Linked DNA regions of Tribolium castaneum. Each later gene encodes a partner of the first gene's protein in a complex. Links are inferred from orthologs where the notes say so. Each region holds a gene or a part of one and is shown in the gene's direction. Other genes may lie near its edges. The genes, in order: Prp3, peptidyl-prolyl cis-trans isomerase H, U6 snRNA-associated Sm-like protein LSm6, Usp39, LSm3, LSm7 and U5 small nuclear ribonucleoprotein 40 kDa protein.

Evidence for each region.
Region 2: Prp3 (region 1) and peptidyl-prolyl cis-trans isomerase H share a complex: the UniProt entries of both Homo sapiens proteins name them as parts of the U4/U6-U5 tri-snRNP complex. The link is inferred for Tribolium castaneum from reciprocal best matches to the Homo sapiens genes PRPF3 and PPIH.
Region 3: Prp3 (region 1) and U6 snRNA-associated Sm-like protein LSm6 share a complex: the UniProt entries of both Homo sapiens proteins name them as parts of the precatalytic spliceosome. The link is inferred for Tribolium castaneum from reciprocal best matches to the Homo sapiens genes PRPF3 and LSM6.
Region 4: Prp3 (region 1) and Usp39 share a complex: the UniProt entries of both Homo sapiens proteins name them as parts of the U4/U6-U5 tri-snRNP complex. The link is inferred for Tribolium castaneum from reciprocal best matches to the Homo sapiens genes PRPF3 and USP39.
Region 5: Prp3 (region 1) and LSm3 share a complex: the UniProt entries of both Homo sapiens proteins name them as parts of the precatalytic spliceosome. The link is inferred for Tribolium castaneum from reciprocal best matches to the Homo sapiens genes PRPF3 and LSM3.
Region 6: Prp3 (region 1) and LSm7 share a complex: the UniProt entries of both Homo sapiens proteins name them as parts of the precatalytic spliceosome. The link is inferred for Tribolium castaneum from reciprocal best matches to the Homo sapiens genes PRPF3 and LSM7.
Region 7: Prp3 (region 1) and U5 small nuclear ribonucleoprotein 40 kDa protein share a complex: the UniProt entries of both Homo sapiens proteins name them as parts of the U4/U6-U5 tri-snRNP complex. The link is inferred for Tribolium castaneum from reciprocal best matches to the Homo sapiens genes PRPF3 and SNRNP40.

The regions. Positions count from the first base shown.
Region 1 is NC_087397.1:1,256,735-1,261,904, forward strand, and holds the start of Prp3 (U4/U6 small nuclear ribonucleoprotein Prp3), read left to right. Parts: upstream 1-2,049; coding exon 2,050-2,931; intron 2,932-2,985; coding exon 2,986-3,229; intron 3,230-5,049; coding exon 5,050-5,170. Other genes in the region: migration and invasion enhancer 1, read right to left, coding at 1,441-1,702, 1,760-1,788. UniProt on the Homo sapiens protein: Plays a role in pre-mRNA splicing as component of the U4/U6-U5 tri-snRNP complex that is involved in spliceosome assembly, and as component of the precatalytic spliceosome (spliceosome B complex).
Region 2 is NC_087395.1:17,965,950-17,969,343, reverse strand, and holds peptidyl-prolyl cis-trans isomerase H, read left to right. Parts: upstream 1-1,486; 5' UTR 1,487-1,565; coding exon 1,566-1,649; intron 1,650-1,695; coding exon 1,696-1,872; intron 1,873-1,917; coding exon 1,918-2,211; 3' UTR 2,212-2,256; downstream 2,257-3,394. Other genes in the region: peptidoglycan-recognition protein 2, read left to right, coding at 701-758, 808-1,027, 1,073-1,191, 1,242-1,432; G-patch domain and KOW motifs-containing protein, read left to right, coding at 2,327-2,460, 2,512-2,702, 2,753-2,951, 2,999-3,309, 3,358-3,394. UniProt on the Homo sapiens protein: PPIase that catalyzes the cis-trans isomerization of proline imidic peptide bonds in oligopeptides and may therefore assist protein folding. Participates in pre-mRNA splicing.
Region 3 is NC_087398.1:10,390,574-10,393,632, forward strand, and holds U6 snRNA-associated Sm-like protein LSm6, read left to right. Parts: upstream 1-1,965; 5' UTR 1,966-2,013; coding exon 2,014-2,104; intron 2,105-2,157; coding exon 2,158-2,306; 3' UTR 2,307-2,330; downstream 2,331-3,059. Other genes in the region: inosine triphosphate pyrophosphatase, read right to left, coding at 1,330-1,902; uncharacterized protein LOC100142353, read right to left, coding at 2,331-2,890, 2,932-3,059. UniProt on the Homo sapiens protein: Plays a role in pre-mRNA splicing as component of the U4/U6-U5 tri-snRNP complex that is involved in spliceosome assembly, and as component of the precatalytic spliceosome (spliceosome B complex).
Region 4 is NC_087394.1:36,569,360-36,574,579, reverse strand, and holds Usp39 (ubiquitin carboxyl-terminal hydrolase 39), read left to right. Parts: upstream 1-1,909; 5' UTR 1,910-2,053; coding exon 2,054-2,129; intron 2,130-2,176; coding exon 2,177-2,215; intron 2,216-2,266; coding exon 2,267-2,527; intron 2,528-2,837; exon of another isoform or gene 2,838-3,081; intron 3,082-3,542; coding exon 3,543-4,672; 3' UTR 4,673-4,702; downstream 4,703-5,220. Other genes in the region: facilitated trehalose transporter Tret1, read left to right, coding at 513-1,882; leukocyte receptor cluster member 1 homolog, read right to left, coding at 4,973-5,220.
Region 5 is NC_087399.1:10,142,925-10,146,398, forward strand, and holds LSm3 (U6 snRNA-associated Sm-like protein LSm3), read left to right. Parts: upstream 1-2,219; 5' UTR 2,220-2,356; coding exon 2,357-2,377; intron 2,378-2,426; coding exon 2,427-2,534; intron 2,535-2,580; coding exon 2,581-2,757; 3' UTR 2,758-2,775; downstream 2,776-3,474. Other genes in the region: SCAR (actin-binding protein WASF3), read right to left, coding at 3,093-3,474. UniProt on the Homo sapiens protein: Plays a role in pre-mRNA splicing as component of the U4/U6-U5 tri-snRNP complex that is involved in spliceosome assembly, and as component of the precatalytic spliceosome (spliceosome B complex).
Region 6 is NC_087399.1:1,125,113-1,128,430, reverse strand, and holds LSm7 (U6 snRNA-associated Sm-like protein LSm7), read left to right. Parts: upstream 1-1,651; 5' UTR 1,652-1,784; coding exon 1,785-1,811; intron 1,812-1,865; coding exon 1,866-2,180; 3' UTR 2,181-2,252; downstream 2,253-3,318. Other genes in the region: ENGase (cytosolic endo-beta-N-acetylglucosaminidase), read left to right, coding at 1-532, 719-1,191, 1,243-1,360; glucose-induced degradation protein 4 homolog, read left to right, coding at 2,613-2,759, 2,950-3,117. UniProt on the Homo sapiens protein: Plays a role in pre-mRNA splicing as component of the U4/U6-U5 tri-snRNP complex that is involved in spliceosome assembly, and as component of the precatalytic spliceosome (spliceosome B complex).
Region 7 is NC_087399.1:11,298,802-11,303,693, reverse strand, and holds the start of U5 small nuclear ribonucleoprotein 40 kDa protein, read left to right. Parts: upstream 1-1,420; 5' UTR 1,421-1,518; coding exon 1,519-1,629; intron 1,630-1,677; coding exon 1,678-1,807; intron 1,808-4,730; coding exon 4,731-4,892. UniProt on the Homo sapiens protein: Required for pre-mRNA splicing as component of the activated spliceosome. Component of the U5 small nuclear ribonucleoprotein (snRNP) complex and the U4/U6-U5 tri-snRNP complex, building blocks of the spliceosome.

The DNA.
Region 1 (5,170 bases):
ACAGATATTTCAAGTGGACGCCTCGGGTTAAATTCCGACAGTGGGGGCCGCCGTAAGGCCAGGTGGTGGTGTTTTATTTATTGGTTGAATCACATTTCCTATATTTAGCTGTAGGGTTAAGTTCCTAGCGATTTTTACGAAATCACCGAACCTTACGGCCGTCAAACCGTCCGAATTTCATCCAGAAGCGTACTTTACGAGTGGCACTCTTGATCGGAGGCGATCTCGTTTATTAGGATCAATTTTGTATAGTGAAGATAAATTTAAATTGTATAACATACTTATAAATATTATGTCCATTGAGAATATGTAATTTACATCCAAATGTGATGTATTTTATAGGAGCGTCTGAGTGAGTGGGATTTTAAGAAAACTGTTCTTTTAAACGAATGCCTGCAATTTCTGTATCGGTGTCAGAATGCGAGTTTTAATTGTAACAAGTAATTAAAAAATTAAAATTTGGGACTGTAGTATTTTTTACTAAGTCTCATTTCCAGCTGTGTAAGTGTATTTTTACAACTCTTTTGTCAGTAGTTGTGTGTGTCTTTCCTTGTTCCGGTTGTTTGGTTTATTTCCATTTTTTCAATTTGTAATCTCATGTGTAAAGAGACTGTACCCAGTACAGCTCCTACTGCAACCTCACAATACAACACTTACAAATATTGTCAGTTTTATTTATTCACCGAATTGTTGCGAAAATACTACAAATCCTACAACAAACAACGCTGCGAGTGAGGTTTAAAAACCATTCAATTTTCCTTTCTTTTTCTCCAAAAATTGAATTGTTTTTAGTTGTTCCACGACTTACGAAACAAGCAATATTACGTAGAAATTTGTTTTACCATTGTTTGGGTGAATTCAAGTTCGTTACACTTTTGTATAGTCACACTGAAAATGTCATTATTTGTAAGAAACAATAAAACTGACATAAAACTCTGACCAAGATATTTTCAAGGACTTTTATTGCAATACAGACTGATCTTCCTACTGCAACAGCCCAGCATAAAAATAGATTTTACACTTACTGTTTGTATTGTTCCTAAATATAAAATAGGTAAGTTTGGTTCCATACTTATTTACATTCACACTGCACTTATTTCACTGTTTATCGTAAAATTTTATTACAGCTGTAAAGTTGTTTTCCACTTCCTGCTTGACCAAACAAATCTATTCTCATGTTTGGATCAAGGAACCAAAATATAACGCATAAAATTATATTGTACACAGGCCATTCCAAATTTTAACGCCCGCCAAAAAAGAAATTAAAACTTAATCCCTTGTTAAAAGTTAATCCGCGGTGAATTTAAGCATCTGATTGGTCAAATTTAGTCACGCGATCAGTTTATCTGACTTTTGATTGCAAGTAACAAGAAACCTTTTTACACATATATTTTTATTTTCACAACAAACTCACAAAAATAAATAATACATTAATTTTTATCAAGCTATTATGCAACTGGTGATGGGCTGTTGTTTACAACTTCGTGGTTCTTTTCCTTGAGCCACTTCATCAATGATCGCAGAAAGGTCGTCATAGTCAGGATAAGCAAGGGTAGTTAATTTAGAATGAACCAAAGTCCCATTGACTTTAACTTCAAATGTGGCTCTCCTGCCTTCATGCCCATTCAGTTCAATATCGGGGTGTTTGGCTTTAATATGCTGCGCTAACTCTTCGAACTTTTTAAAATATCCACAAGTCCCACTACAAATAATCTCTGAAATGATATAAATAAAACTAAACCATCTCCATTTTTTTTACCAAAACTCAACATCGACTTCAACCCCCATTGTAAGTTAATCCAATCGAGGGATTATGGCCTCTCCCTTATTCTATGGCTATGGCTTTATGGCCCTTCCTGATTTTTTTATTTATTTACACTTGTCACATGCCCATAACCCCTAATTGTCATTTTGACATGGGGATTGTCATTGGGATATAGGGTATTTCCAGTTTGTTCCGTTGGTGTTGTCCAATTTTTGACTTCTAACCTAAAATCGTGTGTGTAAACGTTGGAAATCGTATCTTGATAATTGTTAAAAAAGCCAAAAATGTCGTACCTCTCCCGGCGAGAAGTGGAGGACTTGAAACCCTCTATAGACAAAGCCGTTTACAAACTGCTCGGCAGCAGTGATAGCTCCCTGGTCAGTACCGCAGTCCATTGTTTAAATTCAGGGTACGATAGGCGCAAAACTACTGACAAACTTTCGTCTTATGTTGATAGCAAAAAGGCGACAAGACTAGCCGAAAAGATATTTGATTTAGTCGAAGACTATCATGCCTCGCATCGGTCGAAAAAACGATCGCGTGACGATTCCCGAGAACGAGACTCAAAGCGCTCGAAATCGCGCTACGACGATAGAGACAGTAGACATGACTCCGACCGCAACAAATCCAAATCGAGCGAGATCATGGAAAGCGCCCAGAAACAAATCGAGGAGCGGAAGCGGGCCCTAATTGATGGGCTCGCCTTGGGCAAGAACAACATCAACATGAACATACCCCAGCCCAGCATTTACGGCATCCCCATGGGGCTCCTCAACAGGGGCGACGCCGACAAGGCCCGCAAAATCGCGCAACTGCAAGCCCAGATCAAGAGCAAGCTCTCCAGCGGGATTTTGACCAACGCCATACAAATACCAGTGGTGCCCAACAGGCCCACCCCCCTGATCCTGGACGACGAAGGGAGGACCATCGACAAGACGGGAAAAGCGGTGCAACTGACCCACGTTGTCCCAACACTTAAGGCCAACATCAGGGCCCAAAAGCGCGAACAGTTCAGGACGCAGTTGAGCGATAAAACGGACGACAGTAACGAAATGAAATTTTACGATGGGAGAATTGGGATAAAGCCGCCGATTCGGAACAAAAGACAGCTTAGGTTCCACGAACCCGGCAAATTTTTACAACAGGCCGAGCGGCTTCGTATGAAAGTATGTCTGGGTTTTTTGTGGAAGTGTGTTGGGTCATAATGAATTTTTTTTCAGGCCCAGTTGGAAAAACTGCAAAATGAAATTTCACAAATTGCGAAAAAGACCGGCATTTCGTCGGCTACTAAGCTTGCGCTTATTGCAAAGTCTGAGGGGGTGATTGAGGACATACCGCAGATGGAGTGGTGGGATTCCGTTATTTTGATCGATAATTTAGATTTGATGCTCAATGGGAAAATCGCAATAAAGGAATCTGTAATTACCACGTTGGTTGAGCATCCAACCCAGCTGAGGTGTCCAAGTAAGAACAACTATTTTTATTTTTTTATTTTCAGTCTCCCGTCGGGAAATACGTTGAGTTATATAAAAAAATGTGATTTATTCTCGGTTTCTTATATAAGAATTTTTCTGGTGTAATAAACGTAATGATAATGATAATTTTGGTTCAGTTTTGCGAAATTTCGGCTTATTGTGGGTGGAATTCTGTGAAACAAATAAACTGATTGCAAAACATTAGAATTTTTTACTTATTTTATTGATTATTCTGTCGCTTTTATTGACCTACTTTGGCGATTTTTCGGCTCAGTTTAATAAAATCCCTTGAAATAAGTATGTTTCTGGATAAAAAACGGACTACAGCGCTTGAAAGAGTAAAAGAAAATTTCACTTTTGAACTTATTCAGTGTTTTTGGATCCTGTTTACTGAATTTTCGTCGGAACAACTTCGTTTAAAACACGCAAAGGCCTCGAAAAAAGCAAAAAAAAACTATTAATGAGCTAATTATTGAATCTTTTGTCTGATTTAATTGAAATCCCCCTAAATAATTGTGTTCCTGACTGAAAAACTTGCTAAAACAAATGTCATTTTTGGCTTCATTTGCAGAAAAAAACTATTTTATTCCAACAATCTGTTTAAGTCTTTGAAAAAAGTGAAATATAACGCTGTTTTTTTATCTAGTTTGGTGATTTTTCGTCTTATTTTTGAAGAAATTCATCGAAAACTTGTTATACCTTCGGATGAAGCAAAAATAATGTAATACTTGCCCTAACTTAGTCTTTATTTGGCAATGTTTAGCGAAATTTCGCGAAAATTTAAGTCTTCTTGACCATACATCAGCATAATTTGACGATTTTCATTTTATTTCTGACCGAAATTTACCAAAATAATTGGATATCTGTCTAAAAAATGTGTTAAAACAATCGAAATGATCGAGAGTGATGTAATTTTTGGTTTATTTAGTGATTTTTTTTCCTCACTAAATTGACAACTTTTCGGATTATTTTAGTGAAATTCTTTGAAATAATTATTTCTAATTGAAAAACGTGTCAAAACGCCCGAAAGTTGAAGAAATAATGCCATTTTCAACCATATTTAGTGACTTTTGTTAGTAAATTTTCTCCAAAAAAAAAGTTTTTAGTTCAAGAACGTCTTTGAACTGTCGAAAAAAGCAAATGAAATACTTTTTTCGACATAATTTAGCGATTTCTAGGCTTGTTTGTAAAGATATTCTTCGAAATAATTGTTTCTGGCTCAAAATCTTGCGCTAAAACGCTCAAAAAAGAAGAAAATAATGTCATATTTGACCTTATTTAAATTATTTTTGAGTCACAGTTAGCGAATTTTCGCTAAAGAAAACTTAATTTCTTATCTTAAAAACACGTTTAAGCCCTCGAAAACAAAACAACATCCTAAGTTAACGATTTTCCAGCTTATTTTTGCAGAAATTCAACGGAATAATCACTCTCAATAAATGTGTTTTTCCTTAATTTCCTGACCTTATTTAAGTGATTTTTGGGTCCCAGGTAGTGAATTTTTGCCAAAAACCTTACATTTGATGATTTTTGAGCTCATTTTTGAATAAATTTGTCGACATCATTGCTTTTCTAGCTCACAAACTTGCTAAAACATTCGAACCTCGTTTTTGTCCATTTTTTGAGCTTATTATTTTAGCAATTTTTGGTCGAGTTTAGCGAAGATGGGGTTAAACGCTTGGAAAGAGAAACATTACAACATTTTCGTAAATTTTTGGATTATTTTTGACCAAATTAAGCAAAATTTTTCTCTGAAAAATTAGTTACGACTTGTTTTAAATTAAATAAAAAAAAAACATTTCTTTACAGCGGACCCCATCAAGCCTGTGTACATGCCAGTATTCCTGACGAAAAAAGAGCGCAAAAAGCTGCGCCGTCAAAACCGCCGCGAAATGTGGAAAGAAGAGCAAGAAAAAATCCGTCTGGGCTT
Region 2 (3,394 bases), on another chromosome or scaffold:
ACAAATTTAGGTTATGAGGCAGGTGGTTAGGATAAGCGAAGCGTTTGTGTCCTTACCTAGGTCATCCATGGTAATAAGCTGCCGTTCTAATACTAATTTTAAGCAAAACTTCTCAACTACATCACGAATTATCGGCACTTTTTAGGAAAATGACCTTATTTAGGCATTTTCGCAGAATCACAAATGTCAAGATATGAAATTCCAGACGGTCAGTGTAGGCAACCTTGAAAGAAGTAAACAACGGACGGGCAGCGCCTCTCAACAAGTTTTGCAAAATTTTAAAAACCAAAATTTTTTTCCCGCACAAACCTTGCGAATTAACTGACTGAGTTGCCCCCCGTATCTAAGTGACTTGATAACTGCGTAACGAAAATTACGTTAAGTTATGATTTAATAAAACATGATAAGAACTGATAGTGATAAGGACGTCTAAGAAGACTGCAAAATCCAGCACAAAAATAAAATTAAATTCGTTGCTCTTGTTTTTATTTAACTTTAGTCACCGTTGGTGAAGTCCCTGATCGGGAATCCCCACAACCCAGAGATAAAAACCATAACAAGAAGATAAAGTCATAGACCCCACAGGTCACCGTATATAAATGCAGAAGTTTATCATCTCGAAGGTTACTCGTGTTGTTCCATTAAAGGACGTGCTAATTAAATAAATAATTTTAATTTTGCATACAAGGCAAAGTTGAATATGGGACGAAAGTTCGTGATTATTTTCTCAATTTTGCACCAAATTCTGGCTCGAACAGGTAAAACCACCGCTCAAACCCCATCCATTGCTAAATGAGGTGTTTCCAGAGTCAAACTTGCCGGCAGTGTGCCCCGAAATCGTGAGTCGCACTAGATGGGGGGCTCGCACTGCTTTGGAAGTGGATTACGCCCTAATCCCTGTCGAAAACGTGGTCGTGCACCACACGGTGACCAACACTTGCAGCACTGAGGAAGAATGTGCGGCGATTTTGCGAAACATTCAGAATTTTCACATGGAAAATCTAGATTTTCACGATATTGGATACAAGTAAATTTGATGATTTTTGTTTTTTTTTTTTTAATTATGGTTTAGTTTTTTAGTGGGTGGTGACGGCCAGATTTACGAGGGCGCAGGTTGGCACAAAGTGGGGGCGCACACACGTGGGTACAACTCCCGGTCTTTGGGGCTCGGTTTCATCGGCAATTACACGAGTAGGTTGTTTTTCGTGTTATTTTCGTACTTTACGAGCCTTTTATTACAGCTCAACTTCCAAATAAAAAGCAGATACAAGCCGCTAAAGATTTTCTCCAATGCGGGGTTGAGTTGGGAGAGTTGGGCAAAAGTTTCAAACTGTTTGGGGCCCGCCAAGTCAGCGCGACGGAAAGTCCGGGCCTAAAGCTGTACCGCGAACTACAGAACTGGCCGCACTTTACCAGGTCCCCGCCGAAATAAACTGTATTCTAGTTTTTAAAATAAAATTATTATAAAGCATACGATTTTGAATTTAAATATGGCGCCCATTAGTCGCAAGTTTGAGGTTATGTTGTTTTGATTATTCGAGGTTAGGGAACTAAAAACCGTAAAAATGCCGAATTGGGACCAAATTCAAGCCCAGTTGAAGCACCCAGCGAACCCGGTCGTGTTTTTCGACATTTCCGTCGGAACTACGGTACCAATAACCCAAAATTTCCGAAAACTGTATTTTTCGATTACAGGAAATCGGCCGAATGATTTTCGAGTTATTCGCAGACGCGGTCCCCAAAACCAGCGATAATTTCCGCCAGTTTTGCACCGGCGAGTTCCGCAAAGACGGCGTGCCGTTGGGCTACAAGGGGGCTAGTTTCCACCGAGTTATCAAGGACTTTATGATCCAAGGGGGCGACTTCGTCAATGTAAAAATCACGGGATGCGATTCCGCAACTAATTAATATTTTTAGGGCGATGGGACCGGCGTTATGAGTATATATGGGGGCGGAACGTTTCCCGACGAAAATTTTAACCTAAGACATGACGGTCCTGGACTTCTATCAATGGCAAACAGCGGCAAAGACACCAACGGTTGCCAGTTTTTCATAACTTGTGCAAAGTGTAATTTCCTGGACGGCAAACATGTGGTGTTTGGACGCGTTATTGACGGACTTCTCGTCATGCGGAAAATCGAAAACGTGCCCACGGGGCCCAACAATAAGCCCAAAATCCCGGTCACAATTGTACAATGTGGCCAAATGTAGTAGTGTAATTCAAATTTTAATAATAAAAGCACAAAATAAAACTTAGTTTAAATTTTTATTTTGTCAGGTTGGTGGTCCCATAACCTCACTTGTCAAAAACGTAAATAATCGTGAAATGGAAAATAAAAAAATATCGTTCGGTTTCAGCAAAATTAGTAAAAAGACCGAAATCAGGTCAAGTGTTCCGAAACCCGAAAATAAGATACAGCTAATTGACTGTTTAGAGGGTCAATCAATTAAAATAAAAGGGTATGTTTCGTTTTTGAGGTTATGTTATTTTTGCCAAAAACCTCATTTTAGTGCCGTTGAGGAGACAAATGAGCCGTTGGTGATACCAATCCAAGGCCCATCAAACAAATTAATAGACCAAATAAAAAAAGCGAGGGAAAAACACGTCAAACCTGAAGTTAAAGAAGAGACAGGGGAGGCAAATTCTGTGCCAGACTCTGCCCTATCTCTTGACGAATTAGCGGCAAGAGAGTTAATCCGAGGTACTTACCCTATGTTTCAAGTGATTTTCTAGTGTGAATAAAATTTTCAGAGGCACAGACTCGCAACACTGTACAAAGCGAGACAAAAGTCTACTCCTTGCCTTTAAATGACGACAAGTTTGTGGCAGAGGGGGCACAGGAGTCGTCTCTCGACGACTACGAAAGTGTACCAATTACAGATTTTGGTATGGCGATGTTACGTGGCATGAATTGGAAAGAGGGAATGCCAATTGGGAAAAGGACCAAAAAGTTGGTTTAACTTTTCTAAAACACATCCTGAAAATGATTTTTTCTAGATCTGAGGTCCCAAAAGTCCCAGAGTTGCGCCCCAAAGGCCTGGGCTTGGGTGCCAATAAAATGGTCAATTCCAGCACCCCTTCACAAAGTGTAGATAAGGAGGGTAAAGCGCTCCAGCTTGTGAAGGGGGCTTACGGTAAAATAATAGCCGGCAATCACAGAAGTCAATACTGCCAAGTCCAGGGTCTGGATGACGAAAATTGCAGAGTTATAGTGAAGACAGCTCTCACGAATGAGATTTTAAGCTTAAATGAATTTTTAATTGTGCCAGTCACGAGTGAGGAGTATAATAAGTGTTCAAGGGTCATAAGTGAGTTTGCCTTCAATTGTGGGGTTTTGAGTGATTTTGAGGTTTCAGACAACGCGAAGTATGAGGAACATGTGGAAAAATCGGC
Region 3 (3,059 bases), on another chromosome or scaffold:
ATTTGTATATGTTTTATTGAAAATTGTCTTTCTGTAACCGTTTAATAAAGGTAATCCAAAATTAAAAAATGTTTTTTGTCTAAACCGAATGGAAATGGCACTTGATACGAATAAGTATTGCTATTTTTAATTTATTTCCTTTGAAAGTTGCACTCAAAACGTGGGTAAGTATATCTAGAGTTACGTTGCATTGTTAACAAGATTAGGTATTATTTCTGACTGAAACCACTGAAAAAGTGTATCTTATTTATTGCCGAAACCAAAAATTTTTTGCTTGTTTGAAATTGCACTCAAAAAACGTTTATAATTTAATTTTATATTACGTAGAAATAGCTGTTTAAAAACGCTCTGAAGTGGAAGAAATAGTCTTGAAAACAATGTTTTAATTTACGTAACCAATATTACACACGTACATTTGTTATGGACTATTTTAGTCACATTACAAACGATTTCAATAAGGATACAAATTAAATGCACAGTATTTTATTTAAACGACAAGTATTTTTAATCAGTAAAAATAATAATTGCACACTAAAAATAATAAATGCACAGTAAAATAATAAATGCACAGTAAAAATAATAAATGCACAGTAAAAATAATAAATGCACAGTAAAAATAATAATTGCACACTAAAAATAATAAATGCACAGTAAAAATAATAATTGCACACTAAAAATAATAAATGCACAGTAAAATAATAAATGCACAGTAAAAATAATAAATGCACAGTAAAAATAATAACTGCACAGTAAAAATAATAAATGCACACTAAAAATAATAAATGGACTGTAAAAATAATAATTGCACAGTAAAAATAATAAATGCACAGTAAATAATAGCATCTCAAAACTAGAGTGTGTAGAATTTCACATTTCCAATTTTACGTTTTTGAGTTTAATCGTTCGAGGAGTATTTTTCCTTTTAGTTTGCTGGGGCGAAGCCCTAGACTGCAAGCTAGCTACTGAGCGTTTATTATTTAAACTGTGCAAACTGAAACTAGATCCTGTGCATATACGATTTTTTTATTGGGCAAATTTTAAAAAAATACTGTGCGTGGTTTACTTGTCATTTAAATTTTTTACTGTGCAAAAATGAATTAAATACTGATGATTTATTATTTTTTACTGATTAAAATCGAATTTTTTACTGATCGCTTTATTACTATCCTTTCAATAATGGCATTTGAGTACTAAAAAGTACTACCCCCCGGACTGTTTTGTTATAAACCTGCCGGAGAAATAAGAAAAGCGTAACAAAAAAGCACTCAAATCAAACAAAACAATTTATTTAAGTTGATTAAAGTCAAATAAAACTAAAACGACAAAACATTATTGTTTCTCTTGGTTCATAAAATGATTCCTCAGCGCGTCCAAGGCGCGGTACCGATGAGAGATTTTATTCTTCTCCTCTTTGGGCATCTCGGCGTACGTCTGCGTGTACCCCACTGGCTGGAAACACGGATCCCATCCAAAATCCCTCGGCCCCCTCGGCATCACAATCTCTCCATCCGTGCGCCCCTCGAACAGAATCACTTTGCCCCCTTCATCGCCCGGATGATATGCAAAAGTACAAACGGCCTGGGCACTCTTATCCTCATGCCCAGCCAGTAGTCGAAACAGCCCCTCAGGACCCAACTTATCCAAGAACCACTTAATATAAGGACCGGGCAAACCACCCAATGCGTTGAAACACAGACACGTGTCTTCGACGATACACGGCCCCTTGATGATTTCGTACGCCGCTTGGCATTTTTTCACGCAAATATCGGCGATTTCGCCCTGGAGCTCAGGGAGGTCCACTTTTTGACTCACCACTTTGCGTGGGAATGTCGAGCCGAGGATGGCAACCACCTCTTCGAGCTTTTTGGCGTTGCCGGTGACGAATGTTAGCGGTTTCGACATGGTTTTGCGTGAAAAAAACAGGAAGTGGGGTTATGTACATGCCGATTTGAGGTTAGGTTTTTGTCAGCCGAGGCGGTTAAATAAGCAAATTTGAGCCACAAGCTGATAAGGATGAGTCGCAAAGAAGCCCTTTCGTCTTTTATTCAACAAATTCACGCCAGGCCTGTTGTGGTCAAGTTGAATAGTGGTGTAGATTACAGAGGTGAGGTTATGTTTGTTTTTTGTCAATGAAGGGGGCTATTATTTGGTTTTTAGGTGTTTTGGCTTGTCTCGATGGCTACATGAACATAGCGTTGGAGCAAACCGAGGAATACGTCAACGGACAACTCAAAAATAAATTCGGGGATGCGTTTATTAGGGGCAACAATGTGCTCTACATAAGTACACAAAAACGTAGAATCTAATGTATTTTTTGTAATAAAAACGTTTCAAAACTCAAAGTCGTTCATTAAAGCGCACTGATCGATTCTCGTAGAGCTGTTGTATAGCTCAAATAACTCGTTATTTGTCTCACACTCTTGTTTCTTTTTCTTACTTTTAACGAGACTACAGTTCTGATATTTAAATTCATTCAATGTGTTGTCCGGAGGAGTTGGATAAAATTCACAGATGAAGTCCAATTTAATTTTACAATTGAGTGCCCTCCACGTTTTTTCAACATCTAACATGACACAGTCTTCTTTTCTTCGTCCTGGTCTTGGGTGGCCCACAGCCCAGGCCCGAAACCGCGAACATTGCAAAAAGTCCCCCATTGGAGTCTCAAAACTCCCCTCAACCGTAATGTCGTCAAGGCCAACGTATGCCCCCTTGTACCAGTTAGGCAAAGACTTGAGTAACGCAGCTAGTGCGTTCGTCCTTGCCTCAGTCAAAATATCAGCCAGGTCGCCCCCCAAATCCTGGCACCGACGTGCGGCGCTGGAATAATTCATTTTTTCCTGAACCACTTGAAACAAACCGACTGATCTGAGACAAGTTGCGTTCGCTGTGGCTAAAATTCAATTCACATTAAGCCATCCTTCCAACACTCACCCCCACAGTTAAAGTCGCCATAAGCGCTGTAATAATCGTAACTCGGGTCAAAGACAAACGTGGTCGAGTTGTGGACTTCCGGACACCCCAACACCTCGCAACTCCGCGCTTTCTGGAGCTCAGGGGGG
Region 4 (5,220 bases), on another chromosome or scaffold:
TTTTGGGGTTTAAATAATTGTTTGATATTTCCTTTGAATATATTATAGGTATAAAAAACTACCTCAGTTTTTTTGTGTTACTGTATGTTACTGTGTATTTCTGGAGTAAGGAGGGAGAAACAACTTAGGTACAGATTTGACGTAACTCTTTATTACTTTATTACTGAAAATAAGATAAAAATACACCCAAGTGTAAAGTCTATGCATTTGAATAAAAATATCTGATAATGAAGACTTTAACCATTCAAAACCACCTTAAGAAACTAGCCAAAACAAGTTCAAACCCAACGAAAGCATGGCACGACGAAAAGATAACTCGTTTAGTTTTTTATCCAACTTGTTTATGATTACTGATTGATTGTGTAATTGAATACGCCGGTCATCATTCCATTCGTCAACAAAAGAACATCTGGTTGAACCTTCGCTTCTACCTGAACCAGAAACCCCTAAAAACTTAACGACCTGAATCCAATCCTTACAAAATCGAGAAACTCACTTTCGCTTCCTCGCAGGCACTTTGGCCATCGTCACCGACGGCATGATCTACGGCTGGTCGTCCCCCAGCCTCCCCCAGCTCAAAAACAACGAGACTTGCACCTTGTGCATTGACGAAAACCAGGGCTCCAACCTGGCCGTCATGCCCCTGGTGGGGGCGGTCATCGGCTCGCTCACCGCCGCCACCATCGTCGACATCCTGGGCCGCAAACGCACCATCCTTGCCACCGCCGTCCCCTTCTTCCTCTCCTGGATAATGGTGGCTTTCGCCCCCAGCATCGTCCTCCTCTACATCGCGCGTTTAATCGCCGGCATCGCCGACGGCGTCACCTTCACCGTCGTCCCCATGTACATCGGCGAGATCGCCGACCCCCAGGTGCGAGGGATGCTCGGCTCCAGCTGCTCCGTGACCTGGATCGCCGGTTTTCTCATCATAAATGTGATAGGGTCGTACCTTAGTATTAAAACCACGGCACTTGTGTCCTCAATTGTGCCGGCAATCCTATTTATTACATTCTTGTGGATGCCGGAAAGTCCGTACTATTTGTTAATGCGTGGGAGGGCGGACGAGGCCCGGAAATCACTAGAACGCCTCAAAAAACGCGAAAATGTCTCCGGGGATTTGAACCGAATCCGGAACGCAATCCAGGCTGAGGAAAAGTCGCACAATGGGAAATTCGTCGACTTGTTCCGGGTGAAGAGCAACCGGAAGGCCGTTTTCATCATCGGGGGGCTCCGGGGCTTCCAGCAATTGGCGGGGACCACGGCTATTGCCTTCTACACCCATGAGATTTTCCAAACTGCTGGGGACCACATTTCCGCACATTACGCTGTGATGATTTACTACTCCATCCAGTTGCTCCTCACAATGTTCTCCTCGAGTATTGTGGATAAGGCCGGTCGAAGACCACTGTTGATCATCTCAATGGCGGGGTCGGCGTTAGCCCTTTTTGTCGAAGGGACCTATTTTTATCTTTTGAACGAAACGGACATTGATACGAGCTCATTTTCGATCGTGGCCGTTGTGGGGCTTCTAGCTTTTGTGATAATTTTCAGTTTAGGGATGCAGTCAATCCCGATTTGTATGTTAGGGGAGTTGTTTCCCACAAATGTGAAAGCTTTTGCGCTTTGTTTGGCCGATGTTTACTTCAGTGTGATGGCCACAGTGGCCTCCAAGTACTTACAAATAACTAAAGTAGAATACGGACTACATGTCTCGTTTTACGGTTTCGGGATTTGTTCGCTACTTGGACTAGTTTTTATTTATTTCTTTGTGCCTGAAACGAAAGGAAAAACCCTCGAAGACATCCAGAAAAAACTGAGAGGGGAAGTCGAAGTTTGTGATGAACGAGGCGCCGAAGAAGAGAAAGTTAGTCTCAAAGCGTAATTTTATTGAATAAAGTACTTATTTTTTTACAATTTCGAATTTTATTGCATAACCAGATTGACATTATTATTGACACCGTTGACAGTAAATATAACCTTAAAGTTGCAAACACCACACAAAAACAGTCCTAGCGTGATTTAATCAAAAATTAATTAAAAAAGCGTGAATACGATGGAAGCGGACGATGAACCTGCCATGAAAAAGCCCAAGTTCGAGGAGCCCCAAGCCAAATCAAACTCCTCACAACGTAAGTACACATAACCTCGAAAACGCAACTGAAACGTTCAATTTTAGCCGAAATTGAGCCCCCTTCTGACAATTCGGACCGGAAAGGTACAAAAATCAATCGATTAAAGCGCCCTGTTCTATTATTGTCTATTCCAGGTGGGAAGCCCCAAACGCATCGACTGTGCCCCTATTTGGACACAATCAACCGGCAATATCTCGACTTTGATTTCGAAAAATTGTGCTCAGTGTCGTTGACTCGCATCAACGTTTATGCCTGTCTTGTTTGCGGAAAATATTTCCAAGGTAGAGGCACAAACACACATGCTTATACGCATTCGGTGGCCGAAGGCCACCACGTTTTCCTCAACTTGCACACCTTGAAGTTTTACTGCTTGCCCGACAATTATGAAATAATAGGTAATAAATACTCTCAATTGTAGTTTTGAAATTAAGTTGGCAACATTTTTCTTCAAATTTCAACAATTTTACCCAACTCACTTGATTCGAGCTGAAGTTTTACACCGAATTAGATTAAATCGTTTCAATAACGCGAATGTTTGAGAGGGCGCAATGCCAGTAACGCCCCCCTTCAAAAATAAAGTGAAATCTTCGTTTTGTCGCATTTTTCCGATTGGCATTTTATTGAATATCGTTTTGTATGCGTTTTCAACCGAAACTAACTCGAATTAAACCGAGTAATCGTGGAAAAAATACAAAAATGACTAACCTTAGCGTCGTCTAACTGAATTTTTTCAAAACCGGCTTCCAGCTTGCTGCTAACACACTTTGATAGTCTACACACGTCACATTTCCGATAAAAAGTCGATTTGAGTCGTTTTTGCCACTTAACACGCACAAAACACCGGTTTTTCAACACGCAAAAGCAAAAGGACGCGCACTTCGGCAGACAAGCTTCACTCTAACGCTGATGTCACGCCAACGGCACCTCATTGGCTGATTTGAAAATGACACTTGAGCGCGCGTGATTTGAAATTCGCGCGAAGTCTTCAATTGGGAGACTTTTTACAAAGATTAGGATTTATACGTTTTTACAATGTCATAATTCACGAATTTTGTAAAATAAATGCCTGTTTAGCTCAAAAACATGCATAATGGCTTAAAAAAAAAGGAAAAATGAGATAATTTGTGGCCTGATTTGGTAATTTTGCGGCTTGTTTGGCATTTCTGCCTGAAATAACAAGTTGGGATCTTCGGAAAAGACAAACATTATGTAATTATTGAATCCGTTTGGTGGTTTTTCGGTTAATTTTTGTGTTTTTTGTCTATTTTCGATAATCGTGTTGTCAATTTCTGAATTGAAAAAAGCAAATACTAGGAAATGTTCGGGGAAGTATTCGGTTTCAGTAATCAGTGTTGCCACTTAATTTCAAGCTCCAACGATTTTTTTCTAACAAAATTAAATTACTCACAGATTCGTCCCTCGACGACATTAAATACCTGCTCAACCCCACATTTACCGAACAACACATCAGTACATTGGACGTTAGCACAAAAATGTCCCGAGCAATTGATGGCCTACTTTACATGCCAGGAATCGTCGGTTTAAACAACATAAAAGCGAACGATTACTGTAATGTTGTTTTACAAGCCCTTTCACGTGTTGTCCCTTTACGTAATTACTTCCTCCGTGAGGAGAACTACAGCAAGATAAAACGCCCCCCAGGTGACTCCTCTTACCTCCTGGTGCAACGTTACGGTGAACTGATGCGTAAATTATGGAACCCCCGAAATTTCAAAGCCCACGTTTCGCCGCACGAAATGCTCCAAGCTGTGGTTTTGTGGAGCAAAAAGCGCTTCCAAATTACGGCACAAGGCGACCCCATTGATTTCCTTTCGTGGTTTTTGAACGCACTTCATCGGGCACTTAACGGCAATAAAAAGAAAAACAGTTCCATCATTTACCAGTCATTCCTCGGAAACATGAAAATTTACACCAGGAAAATACCACCGACCGAGCTTGACGACAGACAGAAACGCATGCTTTTGTCAACTCCAGAGTACCAGGAGATCATCACCGAGTCACCCTTCTTGTACCTCACCTGCGACTTGCCTCCACCGCCTCTCTTCATCGACGAGTTCCGGGAGAATATCATCCCCCAGGTGAACTTGTACCAGCTCCTCACCAAGTTCAACGGACAGACCGAGAAGGAGTACAAGACTTACAAGGAGAATTTCCTCAAGAAGTTTGAGATTACGCGTTTGCCGCCTTATTTAATCTTGTATATTAAGAGGTTTACGAAGAACACGTTCTACGTGGAGAAGAATCCAACCATTGTGAATTTTCCGGTTAGGAATGTTGATTTTGGCGAGTTTTTGACGCCCGAAGTTAAGGCCAAACATAAACATACGGTCTATGATCTAGTGGCGAATATTGTGCATGATGGAGAGCCGGGGAAAGGCACTTACAGGGTTCATATTTTGCAAAAATCAACGGGCAAGTGGTACGAGATGCAGGACTTGCATGTGACGGATATTTTGCCGCAGATGATTACGCTGACGGAGGCTTATATACAAATTTATGAGCTAAGATTAGAAAAGTAATTTTTTACGAATAAAATTCTATCACCGGAATTTTTGTCTTTTATTTGTCCCTCCCTGATTTTTTTCTGTAATGAAACGTTTAGTCCAGAGAGCGGTTTGTTTTTGGCCTGATTTGGTCAAAAAGCTTTTGAGAAATCAGTCAAATCTTTAGTTCTTGAACATACAGATTAGTTATATTTAAAAGATGAATGCTTTATTATTAATTTTTTGTGAGACATTGTTCAAATAAGTTCGGTAAACTATTCGATTAAAAAAATATTTCGTGAATAAATAAGGAAATGCAATTGGATTTTAAGATCTTTATTTATAATTCTGCCTTGCCAGTTCTGGATTGAACTGATTATTGTACTTTTTGCCCCCAGTTTGAGGCTTCTCTTTTTCTTCCTCCGTCTTTTCCCCGCGTAATTTGGCCAAAAGCCCTTCAGTTCTCTTTCTCTCTTCCCTCTCACGTTTCAACCTTTCCATCCTCAAAAGTTCCAACTTCCGCTTCTTCTCAAAATCGACTCTCTCTTCTTCCGAATCCGACTCACCACTGGAGCGTTTCTTCC
Region 5 (3,474 bases), on another chromosome or scaffold:
TCCACATAACGTTTCTTCTTGGGTTAACATCACGGGGAAGTAAGACAAGTAGTTTTTGCACGAGGTGCATCTTATTTGGTTAATGGAGTCGCTTGAAGACAAAGTGTGGAAGTCCATTCTTTGAAAATGTATTATGAAGGGCAACAGAAACTGTGTAAAGTTAAAAATGCTTACGTTATTAGCCAGTAGTGGTAGATGCAGCGACGTCTTATTTTAAGGAAATGAAAATAAGATACGGAATCAACGGAAATGCAATTGGTGGAATAATCATTGCCAATCCACCTGCTGGAATTCCCTAAATTGGGATGTCGGTCGTGCTTTTGGTTATTTAAGCTATAGAAAGTTGTTGTTAGGTTGGTAGCTAGGTCTAGTGCGGTGCTAATAATCTTTCTCTTATAAACCTCATTTTTTGTAAATTAATTGTCAGTGTCAAAAATTTTGGAATTATGTTGGAACCCTGCCACATTGACATAGACGACTAATTTTAAATGGAGTTGCCAACGTTGAAACAATTTGAAAATTGATTTTAATTCCGAATGGACTTTAGCAACCAGTAATTTTATATACGTGCTGATTCTTTTAGAGCCTATATTACAAACTTTTTAACTTCTAACATAGGTTGAGCTTTAAAATTTTGTACACGATTCAAATCGATCACTCTGAGTTAAAACTAAATTATTTTCAAGATGGCTGAACTTCCGGAACTACGAGAAATTGGCGACAACTTTGAAATTTTAAATGGTGACCACCTATTTTTATTGTGTTTCTGAATTCGCCTTTTGAAACTGAGTAAAATGTAAACCTAATTGTTAGTACTTATCTGTCTTAGTTTTTGAAATATGTCAAATGTTTTGATAAATTTTTTATTTGCAGAGGTTTATTTAAAACATCATAGCTCTTGAGTACTTTAAAATAAGTGAATAATTCTTTTTGCATTTGATAACCAAAGGCTCGAAGGGTCTTCTGAAATCTTTACGATTGTCAACTGTCAAATTGCAAGGCTACTATGATATTTTGAAAATGATAATTAAAAAACAATTATAGAACAGTTTTTTTAAATGGAATGACTTCAATGGCAATCAAAAGAACATCAATTTTTATGCAGACTTATTAACATCTTCTATATCTATCTCTTACAGTTTTTGAAATAATCTCAAAAAACCGAATTCAAGGTAATTATTTTCATTTTTAATCGAGTAACCTTTCAAAAAATACGATAAAATTGTACTAATGATTAACAGAAATTTTAAAACTGTCCCCCATTTTCACTCAAAAAGTTCAAAATTCGATGGCAAACTGACTGAGTTATTCACTAAGTTAGCATAAACCATAATTAAATATTAATGTTTTGCTGCTTATTTGATAATGAACCAGCTAAAAACTAAGTAAAGTGTCGAAGTTTGACAATTGTTGACCATTTTGCAAGGTCTACTTGATTAACTATAAAAATTACGAAGTAAAATCCGTTATTTGTGATTTTTTCAAAAACTGTAACAGGTAAGGTACAGGACGTGTTGATAAAAATCACCATGAATATTGTTCTTTCGATTGCCGTTAAGAAAATAGAGTCGATCCATTTGAAAAAACTGAATTATAGCCGATTTTATTTTTAATAACCATTTAAAAAAATCATACTAGCCTTGAATTTTGACAGTTGACAATTTTGAAAATTTTAGAAAACTTTTCGAAACTCCGATAATCGAATTAAAAAAAAATATATTCACTTCTCCTAAACGGTTCAAAGGCTGTGATAATTTAAATAAACCCTTGCAAATAAAAATTTTACCAAAAAAATTGACATATGTAAAACTAAGACAGATAAGTACCAACAATTTTAATAAATTTTACTCACTTTGAGAGAGTGAATTAAAAAATGTAATAAAAATGTTTAGTTACTCTTCAAAATTTTAAAGTTGGCGCCAATTTGTCGTGGTTCCGGAAGCTCAGAAATTTTGAAAATAATTTAGTTGAATTTCAAATAGTCGCTTTTAAAGCACTAGTTTTTTTTAAAGTTAAAAAGTCTCTAATGTAGGTCCTAAAAGAATCACCCTGTATAATCTGCCGATTTCTAAGTGTTAGTGAGTGTTAAACTATGCATGATCCCTAAAACGAGTGATTGTATTATTTTAAAAAGTAAAACGCGGTAATAATCTGTGGCTTTAATTAAAAAACAAATTTTTTTTAGATTCAAAAAAACACCTTCCGCCCGAATTTTATTACATGCCAAGACCGGTCTGTCCGAATATCGTTAAAATCGAAAAAGGTGTTCTTATTGTGGCGACACTGTAACGACAACTTAACCTAACTTTTGGCCTGTTTAATTTAATATTACAAACAAGTATCATCTTTCGTGAGAATGGCAGATGACTTAGAAAATGTAAGACCCATTTCATTTAGAATTACATTTCACCTACCACTCCTTTCAGATTCCCTCAATCACCGTCAAAGAACCGCTCGATTTAGTGAGGTTAAGTTTAGACGAACGTATTTATGTAAAAATGCGAAACGATCGAGAAATCCGGGGCAGACTCCACGTAAGTTGTCTAACAAAGTTCCATCCATCACAAACCGAAATTCCAGGCTTATGACCAACACATGAACATGATCCTGAGCGACGCCGAAGAGACCATAACCACGGTTGAAATCGATGAAGAAACATATGAAGAGGTTTACAGAACGACGAAACGTAATATTCCCATGCTTTTCGTCCGAGGTGACGGCGTGATCTTGGTCTCACCCCCAATGCGCACTTCGTAAATAAAACACATACGTTGACATGATGTTTATTTACCCATTAAATATCGTATTTTACAAAGATTTCCTGATAATTGGTTAAAATATTAAAAAGGAGTATTAGGATAGTACGAGTTAAATAATTCTCTATACAACTTAATTTATAAATAAAACGTTCATTACAATATGTACATCTCAACCCAAGTCAAAACCATCCACTGTAAACGCAATCTAATAAGCTTATCATGCAATGCCTCAATAATACTGGAAATTTGGCATATTGCTAAAGTTTGCTCGTTAAAAATTGAAAATTCGTTGCTTCAATACACTTGACTAGCCGTGCTAGCCTTCCTTCTATGTCACGCCGACGTTTCATTTTCGCCCCAACCCTCACTATCACACTCCGAATCGCTTCCTGAATCCGAATCGCTAAACTCGACTGCAACCCTCCGAGCTAAAATACTCGCAACATCGTGGAAACCGTTCCCTCTCTCCACCTCCTTCTGTTCAATCTTCTCCACCTTGCGCAACTTAATCCCATCTCGGATAGCTTTGAGTAAATCATTCCTGGGATCGACGATAGGCGGCGCCTGCTTTGGCCGATCTTTGACAGGTGTCAATTGCGGCGGCGACGCACTATTTATAATTTTCGCCAAATCGCCGTTAACCAATGGGGGACTAGTCGTCGGGCCGTTCAGTAACGGCATTGGTGGAGGTGGTGGCGGAGGCGGGGCTTGTGGA
Region 6 (3,318 bases), on another chromosome or scaffold:
CTCGCTCCAAGACACCGAAATGTTGAAAAAATTCGTTGCCTACTTAGGGGTGCAAACGCACACCCAAAACCCCGACCATTTAATCATCTGGTACGACAGTATCATTGAAACGGGCGAATTGAAATGGCAAAATGAGCTCAACCCCCTTAATAAATTTTTCTTCGATAATTGTGACGGTATTTTCCTCAATTACGTATGGACTGAGGAAAATATCCACAATTCGATTGAATTTGCAAAGCATCGGACTTTGGACGTTTACGTGGGGGTGGATGTCTTCGGTCGCAATACCTTCGGAGGCGGTCAATTCAACTGTTTCAAGGCCGCCCAGATGATAAGGAGACACAACTTATCAATGGCGATTTTCGCGCCAGGCTGGACGCACGAAACGCTGCCCAAAAGTGAAAATCGGCAAAAATTCTTCGAGGATTTTATTAATCGAGACTCGGCTTTTTGGAACAGTCTGTGGCCCTATTTATACACGCATCCCATTACGAGGTTCTTCAAGACCAGTTTTTTCACTGGAGTTAACCAGGTATTTAACTAATTAATTAGTTATAACGCGCCCAAGTTCGTATTACGAAAAATAGTTCGCCCTTTCTCTCTCACTCTTTCCTATCGGAACTCCTATAGCTCTGTCCTTGTCTTATGTAAATAGCGGGTTATAACTTTTTAAGTAAAATTATAATAACTTAATAAAAACAAATGCATTAATTTTAAGGACGTCTACGACCTGTTCACGCAACACCCGCAACTCTCAAAAATCAAGCACCCAAAGTCACTAGAATGGGTCCCCAACCACCACGAAATACCAACACTGAACAATAAGTGCAACTGTTTACAGTGTGCTTTCACCAGTACTGGTGTTAGGTGTTTAATTACTAAAGAATTTTTGAATAGTTCAATATGTTACGTCCATCGTATTTTCACCTGTGATATTTTCCTATCTGGAGTTATCACAATTTACGTTTTGACGAAACTAGTACGCGCACAAGCCGCTCAATTAAGTTTAAATCTCCTCACTTCGGATAAAAACGGTACAATTAGAAAAATTAAATGCAATAGCACCGTCAAAGAACACCTAATTAAAAACTGTACGTTAATGGAAATCAATCCTTCGATAAACCCCTCACTTGTTAATCACGTCGTTAGAAGTAACGACGATTTGTTTCTACACGAAAATTTAACAATTGCGTAAGTCGGTCACACGTTTGGTAGGAAAAAAAAACTAATTAACTTTTTCAGTGTTTATCAGTTTGATTGTTCGCCGTGTACGTTATTGGAAATTGGATGTACGTTAGAGGAGGGAAAAGCGATTTATTTGTGCGGTCTTGGAGTCGAAGAGCACGTTCTAGTACTCTGACACAACTTTCGTGACCAACAGTACAAACAATTTTCTGCCATACTGTACATTTTGCCAGGGCTTGAAGCCCAAATAGTTAACATGTATTAATGCTTTAGTAACGCCCCAATGTGTAAATAACTTTTTTTGAATAAATGATAACCGAGAATTTTGCATTTTTCATTTGAAACTTTGTACCTCCACTGCGCAAGCAGTCCTCTACAAATTGTGTCCCAAAATTGCGTCAATTTTTACGTAATTCTTTAGAAGCTAAGAAAATTAATTACGAAATTGCTGGACTTTACAAACCGATAATTATTTTTTTTTATTTCAAAATTAATCGGAAGGTTCCGTGCGCATAGGAGACCATATGCACGCGTCACCTCCAAACGTATTCTAGGTTAGAATTTCAAAATCGGCAAAATTCCACAAATAAAGCCGAACAATGGCATCGTCAGGTGACAAATCAAAAGTACGTACCCCAAACTGCCCCATTTCGCCCCCTCAACCCCCATTTTTACCGTAGAATCAGAGCGGTGACCAAAAAGAGAAGAAACGTAAAGAGTCGATTCTAGACCTCTCTAAATACCTTGAAAAGACAATTAGGGTGAAATTTGCGGGCGGCCGAGAAGCTAGTGGTATTTTAAAAGGCTATGACCCCCTTTTGAACCTCGTCTTAGACAACACAATCGAATACTTGAGAGATCCAGACGACCCTTATAAATTAACAGAAGACACGAGGGCCTTGGGTTTGGTGGTCTGTAGGGGCACAAGTGTCGTGCTCATATGCCCCATGGACGGCATGGAGTCCATACAGAACCCCTTTATATCCCAAGACTAAGTTTTGTACCATAAAAATACCTCTAATTTGTAAGACGTTTTTTTGAATAAAACCGGTAAAAAATTAATAAAACTGTTTTATTGCACAAACTAGCTCAATAAATTAATTAGAAGTTTAGTTATAATGAGCGTAAGCAACCACCAATGCTTATAACCAAAAGTAATTAAAGCGTACACACAAAAAACGTGTTAATTACGCTTGAGATTAACGAATAATTGCCCCAAATAATAAATCTGGGTTGATTCAGTTGATTGCAAAAATGGGTTTTTCTGTCCAAAACTACGGTTGAGTACAGTCGCCCACACATTTAATGGCCCTGTTGCGCACCGAGCATGCGCAAAAACGCTCTGACCGACTCGGATGACTCACCGCCGCCATTTTCCTTTCAAAAAAGTGACATTGGTGACAGTTGAGTGCAAAAGTGCTTTAAAAATGCCGGTCAGGGTGGATATTACGCCTCCCCCGCCGGCCAATTCAAAACAGCCGGGGGTAACAAAGTCCCTCTTATACAACGGCTCCAAATTTCAAGGTTTCCAGAAATCGAAAGGCAATTCGTACGAAGTGGAAGTGGTTTTACAGGTTAGAAGTTGCAAATAATCGCACCATTGCCCCCCTTAACCAAAATTTCGATGACTTTGTACCGTTCGAACCCTTGTAGGACGTGTGACGTCCCTTTTGCTCACCGCTTATTTAAAGAAAACTAAAAATATCAACATATGCTAATGCAATCCGAAATGGCGGGAAATTTAAATTTCGCTCGTTTTTCCAGCACGTCGACGAGGAAAACTCCTATTTGTGTGGCTATTTGCAAATTAACGGGCTCACCGATGAGTATCCCACCTTGACTACGTTTTTCGACGGCGAAATTATCAGCCAAAAGTACCCGTTTTTGACCAGAAAGTGGGACGCCGACGAGGACGTGGACAAAAAACACTGGGTGAGCACCCAAATCTTTGTTTTTAGCACAATTTCAAAAATTACAAGTAGCCAAGCATCGCAGCTCACTATCTTATAATTATTATTTTCACAATCTAGAAGGCGCCAACCCAAATGTCAACTGTTAATGGACAGTCACAGCTTACTATCTTAATATATTTTTTTTTGTATAATTATTTTCTTAACATATCTCTTGTTGCAG
Region 7 (4,892 bases), on another chromosome or scaffold:
ATTTGTTGTTGATGATATTATTGCAAGATATTAATTTTTTATGACGTAGGTTTTAGTCTATTTATTATTGTTGAAATAATCTGCTAATCCACTTTAATAAATGTTTATTTTGCTATTTCTTTCCATCTAACACATGCATTTTACAGAATATGGAAATTACGCAAACTTTGATGGAATGCCGCAAATATTTATCCACTTTGCGTGTCGCAAAGTTTAATGTTTGAGCACTTATTTTAAATATTTTTATTAGATTAGTTGCATCACACTCTCCGTAGGCACGGAAGTAAATATTTTAAGTAAAAATTAATTAAAATGAGTTATAAAAACAGGATATACATATTCTGGAAGAAACGTACGTAAATATTTGCAAATGTTTAGGCAATTTTTTTGGCATGCAATCAGTGTTTTAAGTTTTTTCTGTAATATCGTCTAAGAGGAAGAAATCATTAATCAATGTCGGTCTGTTAACAAAATTCTACGTTTAAAAAAGGCACAGATAACATAATTTTCCAACAAATTTGGGATTTTCGATTAATGATTTTTAGTGTCATTTTAAGAGTTTTTTTACAAACTGATTTATTTTAGAGTTTAAATGAGTTCAAAAATTGAGCAAAATAAACCAAAGTCAAGTCAATTTTTAGTTAATTTAAGGATTTTCACGGTGTTTTTTCACGAAAAAAAGTGCTAAAATATTAAATAAACATCTGAAAATAGACAAATAACATTATTTTTAACACGATTTAACAACCTTTTGGATTGTTTTGCCAAAATTACACAAAAAACATTAGTATCTAGTATCTAATTTTGATCAAGTTTGCTGATTTTTAAGTTTCTTCTGACAGAATTTAAGAAAATATGTAGTTTTTAAGTCGAAACTTTACTGAATCAAACAAAGCAGACTATAATAACGACTATAATTTGGAAGATATCATTCTTATCAATCTATTTTAGTAAAATTACGCAAAAAAGATGTTTGTAGTTTGAAAATGAGCCTAAACTCCGGGGGTTCCTCCTAAACTTAGGAGATGAAACAAGATATAAAATTACAGGAGTTTCTAATCCCAAAAAATTAGTACGACACACTAAAAATGATGGCGCAATAATGCAACAGTCTTATGGGGTTGTACCTCAAATATTTGCCAAGAGAAACTTAATTGTGTTTCAGTGTTGCAAATTACTAACAAAAATCTGTTAGTACCGGGAAAATACTGACAATTTTAGAGCAAAAAAGTAATAAGAATTACGCAAAGTGAGTTAAGTGAGCTAATATTAATCGTTTTCGAAATTTTGGCAAGTAAAAAACCAAATAATTTTTAGATATCGACATTGGGAAACCATTTCATTGTTGTCAAACATTTATTCCAAAGGAGATAACTATTTGTTTTATATAATTGAAACAGGGTATACAATCAAATCGTACTTCGTGCTCTCCACCAGAGGGCGCTTATCGCTTCGTTTTGTTGACGCTAAAAAGTGAGGTTATTGTTTTCCTCCCAATTTTTGTTTAAAACACCAAAAATGGTTGTTGAGAAACGTCGAGCCGAAGATTCATCATCTCTAGTCCCCGTAAGCAAAAAATCGAAAAATGAAGTGGCCACATCGAACAAAAACAAATCGGTCTTACAAGCGGTTAGTAACACTTAACCTCAAAAACCCTCCTCAAATCATGTATTTCAGGCCCCTGCGAGAACTTCCAATCTATTTGCCCCCATTATGTTACTGGAGGGCCACGAGGGTGAGATTTTCACAGTGGAATTCCACCCTGAGGGTCAATATGTAGCTTCATCAGGTTTCGACCGTAGAATTTGTAAGTTGTTTTTTTTGCAATGAGGTTCAGCCAAATAGGTCTTCATATCAAAATTTTGGAGGATTTACTTGAATATCTAATATAGTAATTTGAAGTACATAGAGGGTGTCTTAAAATTAACGCCCGTGCGTTGGGAATTTGATTCAGGGGGTTAACATAATTCGAAAGTTAAGAGTAAAAAATTTTCAATTGTTATTGATAAAAATGTAAATAATAAGCTTAAAGCTGTTTTTCCAATTGTTTGTGCAACATAATTCATCAGTTGATGTTAGCAGGGCTGAGCCATGCCAATTGGCCGCCTGTGTGCAGGTTCCAATAGTAGTTAAAAATTACCAAGTTAAATAAATGGAAGCAAATGTTCATTTTTAAAATATTCTGAACTAGTTTATTTATTCAAAAATAAAACTATTTGTAACAAGAATATTTTTAAATTTTGTACAGGTACATTAGCTGTTAAAAATAATTTGATAACTACAGTTCATTCTTTTTTATAATTAACTGTCAGTGTCAAAATTTTGATAAAGACCAGACTGTATCACACCAAAATCTCATGTCTAATCACTTTCGAAACTAGCTGTATTCTGTATTTGACATTTTACACACCAGATTTGACATTCGGGACAATTTTTGCAGCCAATGAAATTTGAATTCGTTAGTCTTTAGAATTTGTTAGCCTTTTAAAAAAATGTGTTGTGCGTGTTGTAACTTAAAGACCATTAAATTAAATTTGCCAGGTAAAAATTAGTACCATCTTAGTAAAAATTACTATTTATGGTAATACTAACCTGACGGCTCTTTGACAGTTGATTATAAAAAAAATCGACTATATGTATACACGAATTGTTATTGCTTTGTTTTATCAGGGGTGCATGTTTTTTATTTTTGTTTTTTAACTAATATGAAAACAACCTAAAAACAAAAAAATAAGGAAAAACAAACAATCGTTCTTATAAAATAAAGCCAAAACAGAAAAATAAAGCCCTTGTGTAAAATTATTCATAACTTTTTTACCTCTTTCATTTTTTTATTCTTTTTGTTTTTTGATTTTTTGCTCCATTTGTTTGAATTTTATTATACAGCGTGCTCAAAAACTGGCGCACCAACTCATTGGTGTGTGGTAGAGAACTGGTTACATATAAAGGTAAAAATAGTAAAAAATTCTTTGTATTAAAGTTATTGATAAATAACGGATTTTGGATAAATGATATGTGGCAACGTTGTCTAACAGTCATGATCGCAACAGAAGTTGAGCAAGAATAAAAATAAATTATTTTTGAAACGGTTTCCTAGGAAATAATTGCCAGTGTTGGCACATTTACACATTGCGATTTTTTGGATGAATTTTAATTTTTTTAAATTAAAAAAACTGCTAAAATCTGATAGTAAATTTGAAAATAATTATTCATCGTTTTGTTACGGAACGATTACTTGGTATGAAACATAAATACATAAAAAAAATAATGAAAACTAAAGAAGTTAACACAATAAGTTTGTAGCTCCAGATTTTTCAAAATATGACTTTAGGAATTTTTTAAACATTTTTCCCGTAATCTGCACTTGCTTCTCAATAATGTACCACTGAGTTGGTGCGCCAGTTTTTGAGCACCCTATATTTATCAGAAATATGAAGGAGTGTAGTACTAAAATAGTAAACAAAAAAGTTGGTGGCTATTTAAAATGTTATTTTAACATGTCTTTTCTCAATAACTGGATGTCAAAGACTAGCGTTTCTAAAAATAAAATTGATTTGTGTATTGAAAAAAATAAGCCATAACTAAGATATAAATTTTATGTGTTATATTAAGTTTACTCTGTAGAATAATTGGACAGAAAATTTTATGGTTTCATTCTAGAATTTTTTAATTTTCTAGTCCGTATAAATGACTACTATTTAGTCATTTGCTAAGTAAAATGTTGACATTGCGTGGTAAAATAATCTAAATGCTGAGTGGTAATTATTTATCTATTTTTAGCGATATTTGGCCAACCAGTTTTGCAAGTTATTTGTGCGTTAGGTATTTTACAGGGTTCAATTTTTGTATTAAAGCCCTCAACTTCGTTTCGAGCTTCAATATTAAAACTTCACGCTGTAAAATTTTACCTACTACAGGTAAATTGTAAATAACTATTACTAGAAAGGCTATCATTCCCTAAATTTATGCGTGTAAGTTAAGACTCACCCTATATACGTCTGAACTTATATTCATTTAGGGATCTTCTCCAAAAAGGTTTCTAACTTTATTCAGAAGGAACATATGAGGATGTAAATAAAGAAAATTATCAATTATAGTTTTTCGAAAAATTTTATTTTTTTATAATAAAGGCAATACCAAATTCAAAAACGTCTTCCGCATTCAATTCAACAGAAAATTTTATGATTTTATTCTGTTTTTTTAAGTTGTACAATCATTTCTTTACTTCTAATCACTCTAACTCTGTTCATTTTCATAATGAAATTAAAAGAATCCAAACTATATTTTTATTTAAAATTTTATTTATTCCATCGTCAAGGATAAATGAAATTTTATCACTTAGAGAAATAATATTGTTCACAACTATTGTTGTTTTTGTTGAGTTTTTGACGTTTATAACTGTCAATCAAAATAGCTCAGTAACTCAATCGAAATAATGGAGGATGGAATAAAATTTTGTATTGCACACGATAAAATTCACTATTATCTTCTCAAGATCTCAAAGTAAAATTAAATTTTATTGTCTTGTATATCAATTGATTAGTTTTAAAGATCTACATATTTTTCTTAGCTCTTACCTATTTTGAAGAATTTGGAAAAAACATCTTTTAAGTATTGAAAAAAAAAAGAGTCGTTTTTACATACTTTACGGCAATCTTCATCAAAAAATTTGGTTTAAAGGCCTATTTGTCTAGACTAAATATGTTGGTTTAAAACATGTGCGATTTCAGTCGTTTGGAGCGTTTACGGTGAGTGTGAAAATTTATCGGTAATGAGTGGCCACACGGGTGCTGTCATGGAGCTCCACTTCACGACAGATGGCACTAACATTTTCACAGCCAGCACTGATCACACGCTTGGCCTTTGGGATTTACCAACAAGTCAAAGAATTA